Callithrix jacchus: one gene and its partners. The protein of the gene in region 2 interacts with the protein of the main gene of each other region in a biochemical or structural test. Links are inferred from orthologs where the notes say so. Each region holds a gene or a part of one and is shown on either strand. Other genes may lie near its edges.

Region 1 (2,223 bases), on a different chromosome or scaffold from region 2:
GTTGGCCAGGCTGGTCTGGAACTCCTGACCTCGTGGTCCACCCACCTCGGCTGGGACTCTGTGCCTTTATGCCAAAGACAGCCAGGGAGGTTCTGGTTCAGCCAGGAGCATGGAGTCAGATGGACAGGATTGTTAGGGGACCCAGCCCTTCCCCAGGACCTGTCCTCCATGGAGTCAGACACCCACATAGGAATGCAGACAGAGGGGTACACCCCATTACCTCTGGAGACCAAGGCCAAGAGGCACCTGTAGGACTCAGGACAGAGGCCCTTCCCAGCCTACCTCCCTCCATCATGAGGCACGCACACAACTCAGGGTGCAGAGAGGAAGGTGTGCGATCAGAATAAACGGTTCCCTCCTCTATGCTAGCCCTCAGCTCTCCCTGCAAGAGGAGACCAGTGTCTGCCACGTCTGTGGGTGTCCTGTGGAATATTTTCCCTGTGCATACACGTGGAACTCTACAGTGTCTTTTACACACATGGTAACTCAATACACACTGCACTGCAAGCTGCTTTCAAAAAAATGCATTTATTATATCTTGGAGAACATTCCAGACCAGCGCAGTTAGCACTGCCTGCCTCTGACAGGCTGCAGAGTACCGTATTGTTGTACATGCAGGAATTTTATGACTTCCCTCCTGATAGAGGTTCGGGTTGCTTCCTGTTTGGGGCCATATTCTAAGAGATGCTTGTTCTTAGAATCAACATCCTTGTTCTGTATCCCTGGGCCCCTTTATAAATAGTTAGGAACGAATACTTAAGTGGACCTGCTGGGTCAGAGGGTATGTGCATTTGAAACTTGGGTAGATAAGGCCAAAATGCCCTCCAAGGGGTAGCCCCAACTTCCAACTACCCCCTTGTTAATCCATCCTCCATTCAGCAAAGTGATTTGTAAAGATGATTACATGTAATAATCCTGCTTAAAACTGCCAGGAGCTTCAGTGGGGACCCACACTTGCAATTCTGTGCGAACAGGGCCATGCTTCCTCCCCTCCTTCAAGGCTTCAGCCACGCCAGGCTTTCCTGTCCCTCCCACACAGTGGCTTGATCCTACAACAGGGCCTTTGCACGTGCAAGGTCCTTGCACCTAGTGCCCTCAGTTTTCAGTCTCATATTGTACCTCCTGGTGCAGGGTGCAAGCCTCCCAGCCTCAGTTAAATGTAGCAGCCCGAGGCCAAGCCCCCAGGTCCCCCACTGGGTGGTCCAGCTGGCTGCTCTACTATTGTGCTTGGGTGCTTATTGTCAACTCCTCCTGTGAGCTCCTAGAAGTAGAGATTCGGCCAGGCACAGTGGCTCACACTTGTAATCCCAACACTTTGGGAGGCCGAGACGGGAGGATCATCTGAAGTCAAGAGTTCGAGACCAGCCTGGCTAACATGGTAAAAATTAGCCAGGTGTGGTGGCACGTGCCTGTAGTCCCAGTTACTCGGGAAGCTGAGGCAGACAGGAGAATCGCTCGAACCTGGGAGGCAGAGGTTGCCGTGAGCTGAGACCATGGTGTCATTGCAATCCAGCCTGGGTGACAGAGCAAGACTGTGTCTCAAAAACAAAAACAAACATGCAAAAAAACCCCACAAAGATTCTTGTCTGTGTGTCCAGTGACAGTGCCTGACACTTAGTAGGTATTCAAGAAGGAGTTGCTGGCCGGTTAATCTCTGCCAATCCGAGGGTGGTAAGTGACATTTTACTGCTGTCTTCAAGTCTTCAGGTCTGTTTCCTTGCTGTCTGGTGAGGTCAAGCATTGATGTTTAAGGGTCTGTTTCTTTGTAATTCAATTGCTGCCCATGCCCTTAACCTGTTTGCCTTTTGGGTTTTCTATTTCTTATTGAGTTTATGTTCTCTCTAATAAAGGTAAGTGAGCTCTTGGTCTCTCATTTGTGTTGCAAATATTTTTTTCTTCCTCAATCGATACTTTCAAGCTTTGGACTAATTTTTCCATGTAAGTTTCAGTTTCATGGAGTCGAGTTCATTAGTCATTTCCTGTATGATTTTTTTTAAGAGTTGGGTCTTGCTGTGTCACCCAGGCTAGAAAGCTGGTGTGATCATAGCTCACTGCAACCTCCAGCTCCCGAGCTCCGTGGATCCTCCTGCCTTGGCTCCTGGGTAGCTGGGACTGGAGGCCCATACGATTTCTAAGTGTGGTGTGAAGAGATCCCTTCCCCTGGCTCTGTGAGGCCCGGGGCTGGGCTTTTCCTGGAGTAGGAGAGGGCGAGTTTGGTGCCTA
Region 2 (2,882 bases):
GGGCCAGATCTACTGTGTCACCTCTTTTTGCAAGGCTCTGGAGCTCAAAATGTTTTTTGCATTTTTATTTTTAAAATATTGATTGCTTAGGACAGAGTCTCAGTCTCTCACCCGTGTGGCGCGCAGTGGCATGAACACAGCTCACTGCAGCTTCAAATTCCTGAGCTCAAGGGATCCTCCCATCCCAACCTCCTGAGTAGCTGGGACTGCAGGCATGCTCCACCATGCCTGGCTAATTTTTTTTTTTTTTTTTTTGTAGAGATGGGGGTCTTGCTACGTTGCCCAGGCTGGACCTGAACTCTGGAGCTCAAGGGATCCTCCTTCCCTGACCTCCCAGAGTGCTGGGATTCCAGGCATGAGCCACCGCACCTGGCTGGTTTTTGCATCTTTAAAGGATTGGAAAAACAAATCAGAAGATACGTTTTGGGATATGTGAGCATTATATGAAATTCAAATTTCTGGGCCATCGTTTTCACGGCCACGCCCACACGTTTACATATTGTCTGTGGCTGCCTTCACTCCACAAGACAAGGGCAGGCTTGAGCCGTTGTGACACGAACTACCTGACCCACAGAGGAGAACGTATTTACAATCTGGGCTTTTACAGACAGAGTCTGCTGACCCCTGACGGACACCCCAGAGCCTTCCAGAATATTAATTTCAGGGAACGGTGTTCCAAGCAGAGGGAGTGTGGAGAACTCGCTAACGTCGACTGGGCACCTGCTTGAGTTACTGTACTCCTCATGACAGCTGCCATGACCCCCTGTTGCAGAGAGGGAAACTGAGGCTCAGGCGATTTGTGTGTCCTCAGGTGCACAGCTAGTAGGTGGTTAAGTATGGTCTGAATTCGGCTCTGTGACCCCAAAGCCTCAATATGCACCCTCCACCTTTCTTCAGCACCCCCAGCCCAGTCTGTCCACTCACCTCCAAACTCTCCCTCTCCGATCTGTGCTCCCAACGTCAAATGCTGCAGGTTCAGCAACCAGCCCGCTGTGGAGTGAAGACCCAGTCAGGGCGGTACTAGGCCCCCCAAACCCTCCCACTGGGGGTTCTACTTGGTGAGACTAGGTGATGTCTCACAGTGCTGCAGCTGTGGAGACACATGTGACTGGCTGCTGGGCCTGGCAATGCCCCTGGGACATGTCAGAGACACCCCACTCCTGGTACCAATTATTGTTGTTGGAAGCAACAGATATCTCAGGCTGACCTGAGCAAAAAGGAGCTTGTAGGAGGGACAGTGGGGTGAATGGTCAAAGCTGGGGGCCTGGCTGAAGACCCTCAGACTCCACACTTGCCCTCCAGGAACTCCCTGTCAGGCCCAGGGGGCAGTGCCAGGAAACGTTTCACGTCTCAGAGATAAGAGCTGCCCTTTTCTCTTTGGCTACCTGGAGACCTCTTGTCCCTCCAAATGCCCTCTGGGCTCTTCCCTACATAGTCCTTTACCTCTGACCACCGAAACACACACAGGGCAAAAGAATAAATAAAATTAAAACCCATAAAGGTTCCAGAATATTCCAGGGGTCTGGCCTCCCTGACCCTTCTCCCAAGCACTCCTGTGTTGGCCCCTCCACTGTCCTCTGGTTGGTTCTGCAGGCTTCCCCCTCCCTCCAGAAAGCGCCCCCTCCAAATGCGGAACTCCTAAGGGATCATTGGTCAGGGTGATGCTAGTCTCCACCTGGGTGCCATCCCCGATGGGTACAGACTTCCCCAGGAGAGATGTACTTCAAAGAGACAGACATGGGGTGGGAAGAGGCATTTGCTTTTGAGCTTAAATATTGAGGATTTCACTACTCAGGGGCTGGAAAAGCACTTCAGGCGAAGTGAATGGAATCAACAATGGCTCAGAGGCATGAAGGAAACGATGATCACAGTTGACTTGGGCGGGGTGGATGCGTGGAGGAAGGGCTTTGCAGATGAGGCTGGAAGGGTGGCTCGGGCCATGGGGGCAGGTTCTGGAACGTAGTAGAGCTGCGGGCCTCTCTCCCCAGAGGCAGGATCTCATGATAGAAAGATAACCTTGGGGCTGCACTCAGGGCCTGGCCTGGAAGGGGCACTTGCCCCCTGGGAAGGAGGTCCTGTGATGAGAGGGACTGAGGCTGGGCTGTGGGGAGGGGAGGGGAGCAGATGCACCAGGTGTTAGGAACCAGGCCAAAGAGGGAATGCTGGGGCGGGGAGGTGGGTGGGTGGGGCTTCGGGGCCAGGTTTCTGGCTCAGATGATATGGCGGATGATGGTGACAGAGATGAGCAGCAGAAGGTGGGGCCCAGTGAGTAAAGGACTGATCGGCGTCTGTGGACCCCAAGGCAGCCCAGGTCTTCTATCCCATAGCTGTGCATGGGGACAGGCTTGGGTGATCTGGCCTTAGAGGCCCAGGGCCCCAGGGTCCTTCCTCCTGGGCTGCGCTAATGTGGGCAGGGGAGGAGGTGGGCCCTCTCGAGCGTCCCCTACCCCTGGCCAGCTCCTCCTCTGCCGACTTGGTCCCGTGCTTCCGCTTTGGCCTCACCAGCTTGGTGCAGATAGCGCCCTTGTCCTTGGTGTAATGCTGCAGGATACGGGGGTGGTGGTGAGCCCCGCCCCAGGACAGGGAACCCCGGCATCTCGTCCCTTTCTCTGCTGGGCTCTGGGTGGGGTGGGCGGGACCAGGGAGGAGAAGAGAGGCTGGTTTCCATTGGAATGGGAGAAGGGGCAGGCCAAAAGGAGCGGAGGTCCTCTGGATTGCTGTCAATTTGGGGGGTCCTGGGGGTCCCCAAAGATGTCATCCCAGTCCCTGGGGGCAGACTCAGGTCTGGGGGGCCCAGGGAATACCCCCTTCATCTCCATATTGGAGAAGCACAGAGCTCAGGGGATCCCAGGTGGTCAGCACAGGAGGTAGGGATGGTGTCT
Region 3 (3,523 bases), on a different chromosome or scaffold from region 2:
AAGCCCGAGGGGAGAATAGAAACTCTTACTCCTATGGGCCCAAAGCACCCACCCAGGAAACGCCTCATCTCCGCATCCTTAGTCCTCAGCACCATGAGTAGGTGGGCATGTGGTCTGCTGGGCTGCAGGAGGCCCGACTCTGCTCCATGGATGCTGCTCAGTGATGTGCTGAGACCTGTCCTTTAGGAACAGGTTCCTGTATCATGAGACACCTGCAGGACCTTTCTGATGGGGGCTGGCCCCTCCTACTTCCATAGGATTTTTTGCTTTGTTTTCCCTTTTTTTTGAAACTGAGTCTTGCTTTGTTACCCAAGCTGGGGTGCAGTGGCACGATCTCGGCTCACTGCAATCTCCGCCTTCTGGGTTCGAGCAATTCTCCTGCCTCAGCCTATGCTCATTGCTATAGAACTGCAAGAGTGGAATGAGAAGGGTGGAACATTTCTCCACTTTGATAAGCACAGCTGGGTGTTACAGATACAGGGGCTGTGGTTCAAGGCTCCACAACCTGCTCACCACTTAGGTCTCCTCTCTGGGCCTCAGAGTCCTTATCTGTAAAAGGGGCAAACACATGGCTCTTCCTTCTAGTACTTGTTATAAAGGGAGAAAGTGCCAGACTCAGGATCTGGCCCAGCTGCTGCTCCCTGGCCCCCTCCTGCCTCCCTCCTTTCTCATCCAGGACATCATTTAGGCTGACAGCATGGCAAAGAGGAGTGAGCACTGTACTAGGAGTCAGCAGAACTGGGTCACACCTGAGCCATTTACTTGCTGCGATTGTCTAGGCATGGGATGCCTCATCTGGAAACCTCAATGTCTTTTCCTGTAATATCTGCACGATCAGAATAAAGCCACCCTCCCTGCCTATGTCCAGCGGTTGTGGGGGGACTTGTTATTATGTCTAGGATGGAAATAAGGCCATATCCACACAAATGAAAACACACACACCCTCTGATCTAGCAATGGCACCTCCAGTGGGCATCTCCCACCTGAGGAGGGTGACACATGCTAAAGGTCATCCACTGCAGGACTGTTTTAATAGCTCAAAGTTGGGGACAACTTATATAGCCATCAATAGAAGACTATAAAATAAGTCTCATATTTCTATAAGCTGGAGTATTCGGTAACTATTACACAACAGAACAGGTCTCTATGTCCTGATATGAAATCTCCATTTCAAATAACATGGTTTACATTTGGGTGAGGTTTTCCAGTTACCAATGGGGTCTGAATGTGAGTATTCTGAACCTTTGGGAAACTGATGAAAAGGAGAAGTGCTGGCTCCCTGCTTACTGGCTCTGTTCAAGGAGCTTTCATTGAGCACCTGTGATGCTCCAGGCTTTTCTATGGAAACAATGCTTAACACTTGGGCAGGAAGGAGCCTCCCTGGAATCAGATGTGGGCTCTGGTCCAGATCCTGTCACTAACTGGCCCTGTGACTACGGGCAAGGCCCCTGTCATCTCCTGACTTCAAGTGGCCACCTGTAACTGGGGGTTGGGCTGGATGGTCTGAGGGTCCTTCCTGTACTAATGTCCCAGGACCAGGAGCTAGAACAAGAATCCTGGGGCCCTGTCAACAAACACAAATGAGCATCTTTGCTGCCTTAACTGAGGAACCCGAAGTCACCCAGAAGGAATACCTCTTTCCTGGAATGGGGGACATTCTTTGATGACCCCGCTTTGTTCAGAGCTTTTGGTGATTGCATAAATCAGTCCCTAAATTGCACGAGGTTTTTTCTAAAAGACCCACAGAAAATGCCGGGACCTCTGGCTTCCCCTCTCACCAGGGCCATCAGACTAAACAGTAAATCTGTGCCTTTTAGGAATCTTCTCAGTCGATGTTTGGTGATGGAATAAAGAAAAGCACACCCTCCCTCCTCGCTGCCCTGGGTGGATTTCTTATTGGAAAAGATGAGAACACAAGCTTGGTGGAGCCTGGCACATAGTAGGTTTTAGTGGGTGCCTGTCACTTAGAGGAGACTTGACCACCCCGAGAGGGAAGCACTCTCTGGAGGCGGCAGGTGAGGTCTGGCCCTGTGCCTGGACAAGTCACTCTATCTGTTGGTTCCCTCATCTGTGGAACCAAAGGGCTGGGGCAGATGAGAAGTGGCAAGGGCTGCAGACCCAGGCAGCTGAAGGAAGGATGCTGACTTTCCCAGTCTTTGCCAGCTGTGGAGCCTTGAGCAAATAGCAGGGCATCTCCAGGCCTCAACTTCCGTTATATGTAAAAGTGGGAGACATCAATTCATGAAAAGGAGCACCCACCACCACACCTAGTCATGGCTCAAAGAACGGAGGGTGTTATTATTGGCTTATTGTCACAAACCAGGGGATGAAGGAGGCCCACGCTGTACTCACCCCGCACAGACAGCTCAGTGCCTGGTCCAGACTTCAACTCCACGTCAATAGGGCTCGCTTTCCGGAACTTCACACAGTAGTAGGTGCCGGCATCTGCTGGGGTGATGTTACTGATGCGGATGGAATGGTCCATGTTGTTTCTCTTTGTCTGGTCTGCGACAGCTGTTACCCGGGGGAATTGGCCTTCTTTTTGATTATAGATTAATTCCCGGCCTGGTCCGGCTCCTCTGAACCACTGGATGGGCCCCACGGGGACCAGGGAGGTCACAGTGCAGTGCAGAGTGGCCGTCTCTCCAGCTGCGACCGACACGGACTTCTCAGGCTGCACCACCTGCAGCTCCTCCTCACCTGCCACTCCTGAAAGGAGCACAAAGCAGTGATTTTTTTCAGGCTTACATGATTCTCTGCTTCCTCAAGTGTTTATCAATGACTTTCATTAACTGGGTGCACACCAGGAGCAGGCCTTAAACTCAGCACACTGTGTATATTATCTCACTTAATCCTCACAAGAAACCTGCAACATGAACCTGTATTCTAAGTGGGGACACTGAGGCACAGAAAGCTAAGTGACATGACAGAGAGTGGCTTCGAATGCCTGGACCCTCTCTGGAAGAGTCACATCTCAGCTAGACTCTATAATTCCAATCTGAATTAACCAGAAGAGGGCCTGGTGTTTAGACAGAGGGAACAGCCTGGGCAAGGACTCAGAGGTAGGAGCCTGGCATGTGTGGTGCTCTACAAGGCGTTAGGTTCTGTTTCTGGCCTGGCCCAGGATGCAGGCCCCGAGAAGGGAGGCTGTCCTCAGCGGTCTTGGGCAGTAGGAGAACGTGGTTGGAGTTCTGGATCACTGGTCTACAGATGTGTCCTTGGGCCACCGCTCAGGTGACCAATAAGATCCAGTGTAGACTCATGCCAGTGTGTGTGAGTCTCGGCCTGGAGCCCGGGGCTGAGCCCGGCTTGCACAGTGCCACACAAATGCAAGAGCTGCCCTCAGTTTGCCCTTCCTGCTCTCAGCCTTGGTTTCTTTATCTGTAAAATAGTTACTATGACCCCACCTCAATGGATCTCTGGGAGGACAAAACAAGCCAAGGCTGGGGACAGTGTCAGAATTCAGCATGCGGTCTTCAGTCATCGGTCCTGGTTTGGAACCTGGCTCACCCCTTGTTTGTAT

Evidence for each region.
Region 1: the proteins of MATK (region 2) and LRRK1 form a complex in vitro, tested with the Homo sapiens proteins (2 studies listed by BioGRID and IntAct, with this or other methods). The link is inferred for Callithrix jacchus from reciprocal best matches to the Homo sapiens genes MATK and LRRK1.
Region 3: the proteins of MATK (region 2) and tyrosine-protein phosphatase non-receptor type substrate 1 form a complex in vitro, tested with the Homo sapiens proteins (3 studies listed by BioGRID, with this or other methods). The link is inferred for Callithrix jacchus from reciprocal best matches to the Homo sapiens genes MATK and SIRPA.

What each region holds. Positions count from the first base shown.
Region 1 is NC_133507.1:8,917,042-8,919,264, forward strand, and holds the end of LRRK1 (leucine-rich repeat serine/threonine-protein kinase 1), read right to left. Parts: exon of another isoform or gene 2,034-2,223; intron 1,725-2,033; coding exon 1,262-1,724; 3' UTR 510-1,261; downstream 1-509.
Region 2 is NC_133523.1:3,553,209-3,556,090, forward strand, and holds part of MATK (megakaryocyte-associated tyrosine-protein kinase), read right to left. Parts: intron 2,542-2,882; coding exon 2,448-2,541; intron 991-2,447; coding exon 925-990; intron 1-924.
Region 3 is NC_133506.1:9,495,683-9,499,205, reverse strand, and holds part of tyrosine-protein phosphatase non-receptor type substrate 1, read right to left. Parts: intron 2,710-3,523; coding exon 2,353-2,709; intron 1-2,352. UniProt on the Homo sapiens protein: Immunoglobulin-like cell surface receptor for CD47. Acts as docking protein and induces translocation of PTPN6, PTPN11 and other binding partners from the cytosol to the plasma membrane.